Linked DNA regions of Oryza sativa Japonica Group. The protein of the gene in region 1 binds, or shares a complex with, the protein of each later gene. Links are inferred from orthologs where the notes say so. Each region holds a gene or a part of one and is shown in the gene's direction. Other genes may lie near its edges.

Region 1 (2,418 bases):
GGGTTCTAGTTCGAGAACCGCTTGTTTTCTCAAAACATGGATTTGGCTCAGGATTGCCCCTTTTTTAATTCCAGGGTTTCTCTGAATTTGGAAGTTGCCACTTAGCAGGTTTCCATACCAAGGCTCAATACAATCAAGTCCGTAGCGTCTACCGATTTCGCCATATCCCCATTTTCTTTTTCTTTGAGACCAGGATTCCTTGTGCAATTTCCTCCATCTGTTAGTTTTTTTTGAATCGTTGAATTCATTACTCTATGTAGTCTAGCGGTTCGTCTCTAGTTGAGAGACTCCGCTTATTGCAATTCAGCATTGAATTGATTCTATCGTTGATGTATTTGCAATTCAATGCGAATCAATATATCCCAAGGTTTTTCTCTCCCCCACCTACCGCGTTCCTTTTTTAGAGTATTCAAAATCATACTATAACGCTTGATATTCATTCTTTTTTTTTGCTAATCAGAATTAGCAATTTCATTTGCTATGATTCTATGTTCTCCTTAGTGAAATATTAATCATTAAATTATTAGCAAATAACAAAAAAAAACAAAATAATCTCAAAAAATGTCTATAATGATGGACTGAAAATACAAGAAATTCGCATGTTCTCTTTATTATGTTTTCGTATATAATATATATTATTTATTCTTTTCCATGTATTAGATTATTCGTCCGAGCCATATCAAATTAAAAATATCTAAAATCAAATTCAATATAGAAATTGGAATAGATTCTATTAGAAAAATAGATTTGCGAATTAGAGAAAAAAGAAAGTTCAAAAAAATCTATCTAACTTTATTTTATGAAGTTCTAGTATTTTTTTCTAAGTAGAACTTCCAATTTCGAACTAGTTAATAGCTAAGATTAATAATTAAGATCTGACATTTTACGGATTTCCTATACTATACATATTTCTATTTGTTACACTATTTCTGTTATGTAAGCCCACTTAGCTCAGAGGTTAGAGCATCGCATTTGTAATGCGAGGGTCATCGGTTCAAATCCGATAGTCGGCTTTTTTCTCTATCAATGTTCCATGAACAAAAATACCTCTTTTTCTCCGAATTAAATGGAGAAGCCAGGATCTATTATGTCGGTCTACCCTACAATTTTGCTAGATACAAAACAATAAAATAAATAATATATATACAAAAATTCAGATGTTGATGAAATTCCATTTTTTTGTGGTACTTTTAGTAGATTTTACTCTGTTTATCCTTTACTTTAATTCAGTTTTAATTTCGATGTATTCTGTAATGTAAATACAATGAAATTAATTGTGTAAAATGAAATTTCAATAAAAAAAGGAGTCTTCATGTCCCGTTATCGAGGACCTCGTTTTAAAAAAATACGCCGTCTGGGAGCTTTACCAGGACTCACTAGAAAAACACCTAAATCCGGAAGTAATCTGAAAAAGAAATTCCATTCTGGGAAAAAAGAACAATATCGTATTCGTCTTCAAGAAAAACAGAAATTGCGTTTTCATTATGGTCTGACAGAACGACAATTACTTAGATATGTACATATCGCTGGAAAAGCAAAAAGTTCAACAGGTCAGGTTTTACTACAATTACTTGAAATGCGTTTGGATAATATCCTTTTTCGATTAGGTATGGCTTCAACCATTCCCGAGGCCCGGCAATTAGTTAACCATAGACATATTTTAGTTAATGGTCGTATAGTCGATATACCAAGTTTTCGTTGCAAACCCCGAGATATTATTACTACGAAGGATAACCAAAGATCAAAACGTCTGGTTCAAAATTCTATTGCTTCATCCGACCCGGGGAAATTGCCAAAGCATTTGACGATTGACACATTGCAATATAAAGGACTAGTAAAAAAAATCCTGGATAGGAAGTGGGTCGGTCTCAAAATAAATGAGTTGTTAGTTGTAGAATATTACTCTCGTCAAACTTGAACTTAAGGAAAAACGGAAAGGTTCATAGAATTTTTCTTCCCTTCCCCTTTCCCCGAACTAAATCGACCTAAGGCTCTTAATTCGTATTTTCCCATTCACCTAACAGAAATGGATTAACCCTAGGATTCCTTTTTGTTTTTTGTTCTTTCCTCTATGTGTATTTTACATACCATAGTAATTTGGTATAGAGAATTTCTATTAAATAAAGGTATTGTATTATTGCTGGAATAAATTGTCATTTGATTTGATACATTGTAATCATTAACGTTGCTGAATTAAGAAAAACGGAAAGAGAGGGATTCGAACCCTCGGTAAACAAAAGTCTACATAGCAGTTCCAATGCTACGCCTTGAACCGCTCGGCCATCTCTCCTCCATAATCTTATTATGGAAAAAAAACTGAGTGAATAGCGAGTTTTCCTATTCCTGCAGTACAGGTACAACCACAACCGCGCGAGAGTTCCATTGTTCTATTAGATAGAAAAATTCCTTTTCATCTAA
Region 2 (2,935 bases), on another chromosome or scaffold:
CCGAAAGCTTGTCATCTTTGCCTGCTTTATGTGTTCAAAATTCGCTAAAGTTGGCCTGTGTTTGGCGCAGCATTGGTGCACTGAGGATGAAGAATGAGTGCTCTGTGTTCAAAGTAAACTGCAATGACAGGAATCTGGAAGGGTATGCATTTCATTGACTCGTCCAACTTGTTCTTCACATACTATCCAATCATCATGCAATTTCCTCACATGATGTGATGAGGCCATGTTCTCTTTCAGATGCCGCAGGTCTCTTCAGAAGATGAAGAGGGAGCATGCCACTCTGAAGCAGAAGCTGGAATCATATTTTCAGGTATGTTGTACTACATCCTTGTCTCTCTCTCTTTCTGTTTACCTTATTTTCAGCATTGCTACATGGCTAAACAACTTGGTTATCTCCTGTTCCTTCTGCTGATGCAGTTACTGAGGCAAGTTGGTCCCCGTGATTATGCAGTGAGCTCAAGGAAGTAAGAAGAACAGTATGAGTTCCAAGGAAAATAAAGAACATATACATAGCAGCTATCAGTCTCTTGAAAATTCTGTCGCTGAAAAGTTTTTGTGCCAATCAGATACTCATAATGCTTAATGGTGCCTTTTTGTTGTGTTTGGATTGCATCTGTAGCTCCATAATCCATATATACTGTATGAAGTTATGTAAAGCCCTGCTTATGCACACTCTCCTTGCCTGTCTACAAAGTGCCATGAACTTGTGTTATTAGTCAGTAATTGTAGCAGAAAGTGTCATGGTACTAATATGAGCTTTTAATGTTTGAAACTAGTAATATGTAAACTAGTTTTTTGGGTTAATTAATTGCCCAGGTGCCATCATGGAAAACTATTTGTTTGTACTTTGTATACTCAACAAACGCTATAGTCACATTCCCAGAACCAAAGACACTTAAAAACACTGGTTTTTCATCTCTTCCACTAATATTCATAACAGTGTTTGAGCTTTAACCATCAATATCATTTTGAACGTTTCGATTTCTAAAATCTTAAAAACGTTATGGCTAGATTTGTCTTCAGAAGTCCTAAAAATATCATAACTTTGCTATATTCTTCATAAGTTTTATACTAGTAGTAATAATTTAATCATAAAAAAATGATTATCTATAGAAAAAGAAATGAGAGGACAAAAAAAAAAGAAAGAGAAACATCAGAATTGCAGAGGGCCAAGCCAATCATGGGCTTGGTCCATAGGCCCAAGAGACAAAGCCCAATCCATGGGCCTGGGCTTCCCTTTCCCTCCGTTTTATCTACTCCGATGCACGCACAGCTTATCCGATTCCATCCATTCCTCAAGCTCTCACTCCTCTCTCGCTTCCATGGCGCTCCTCGCCGTCCACGCCATGGCCGCGTCCCCGGCCACCTTCCCCTCCTCCCACCACCACGCCGCCGTCTCCTCCTACTGCGCGCTCCCCGCCGCCGCCGCATTCTCCCGCTCCCGCTCTCGCGTCGCCGCCGCCGCCGCCGCCACCCTCTCGGCCCCGCTCACTCCAGTTCTTGAAGGTAACTGACATGCCTACCTAACCTCCCTGTCTCTGTTTTGTTCGTCAATTCGGATTAGTCTGGTGTGAAATTGGCTCGATGATCTTATATGAAACTGCTTTTCAAATCGTATTGCACGAATTCAATTGATACAGCACCAAAACATAGATTGAAACAAAAACCTCGCAGTTTGAACCAATTACGATTCCAACTCAAATTACTCCATTTGGTGTGACCAGTTTACTGCGGGAGAGGGGACAAGAAGACCAAGAGGGGAAAAAGGTTCAACCACTCGTACGGAAATGTGAGTCTCTAGCACAAAAATAAAATTAATAAAAAAATCATATGCTTATTGCTTCCTGTGCTGCTGTTTGCTGCAATTCTTCAGACTTGCCATCTGCTGACTGCTGTTTGCTCATCTCAGGCGAGGCCGCGCAACAAGAAGAAGGGAACTGGCCCTGCACGGCTGTTCGCGCCGCCTGCGCCTCCGAGGAAGGACCAGTTCGACGACGGCGAGGTCACCCCGATCGACATCGACGATGACATCCTGGAATAGGTTGTCTGAATTTCCCCCCTTGAATTATGGTTTACCTTGAGCTTACCTTTTGTCTAGTCTGTACCAAACACTGTTTCTTGAAATTAATTACAGTACATTACATGGTCTCATTCTACATAATGTAGATGCCTATGATTTCTTTCCTTGTAATATATATGAATGGTGCTGCTTAGAGTCATTTTTTATGCATTACCAGCTGAAGCAGAACATAAGTACAGATACAATCACCAAACTTTCATGTTCTTGCTAGAAACCAGGGAAGATGCAGTATCTCTTTTTTTTTTCTTTTCTAGCTGTGTCCCTGAATTCAAGCACCTTTTGACATGCTTCGAATTTGTTGTGATGATCTGGGAAGCAGTTCTTAAGAATCAACTAATAAACCAGTCCATCAGATCGGGTCAGAAATCTGCCCCTTTTTTGTTGTTTTGTCTGTTGACTCTGTTATGCGCTTGAGTTTTGACACAAGAAATTGTTTTGATGATCTGCAAAACATATTCCTTTAAAGCTGGACAACAAACCAGTTCAACTGGTCAGCTTGGTGGTAATTGTATGTTAAAATTCTGTCATTTTTTGTTGTTTCGTCTGCAAGTTTGTTGTGAGCTGCTCCCCCCGCCCACAAGGGTAAGCAACTATCTCGCCCGAAATATACTACAATTTTGGCCCAAACTGGAAGTGTAAACCCTGCTACGCAATGGCTTTAAGAACCCTAAACCCTGAAGCATGTTTTGTTTGCTACCATTTCAAGCCATCACAAATTTTGGTAAGATAACGAACCAAATATGTTCGAGTATCCCTACCTTACCAAAATTTGGTAACGTACGAAACAAACCCGCCATCTGTTCAAAAATTTGGTGAAGTAACAAACCAAACATTTTCCCACAGTCCTAACAT

Evidence for each region. Proteins that work in one complex are often made in the same cells at the same time.
Region 2: rps4 (region 1) and 30S ribosomal protein S31, chloroplastic share a complex: the UniProt entries of both Arabidopsis thaliana proteins name them as parts of the 30S ribosomal subunit. The link is inferred for Oryza sativa Japonica Group from reciprocal best matches to the Arabidopsis thaliana genes rps4 and PSRP4.

What each region holds. Positions count from the first base shown.
Region 1 is NC_001320.1:44,310-46,727, reverse strand, and holds rps4 (ribosomal protein S4), read left to right. Parts: upstream 1-1,312; coding exon 1,313-1,918; downstream 1,919-2,418. UniProt on the Arabidopsis thaliana protein: One of the primary rRNA binding proteins, it binds directly to 16S rRNA where it nucleates assembly of the body of the 30S subunit. With S5 and S12 plays an important role in translational accuracy.
Region 2 is NC_089039.1:5,295,874-5,298,808, reverse strand, and holds 30S ribosomal protein S31, chloroplastic, read left to right. Parts: upstream 1-1,279; 5' UTR 1,280-1,325; coding exon 1,326-1,509; intron 1,510-1,727; coding exon 1,728-1,792; intron 1,793-1,876; coding exon 1,877-2,044; 3' UTR 2,045-2,435; downstream 2,436-2,935. Other genes in the region: pseudo histidine-containing phosphotransfer protein 2, read left to right, coding at 71-142, 241-313, 421-471.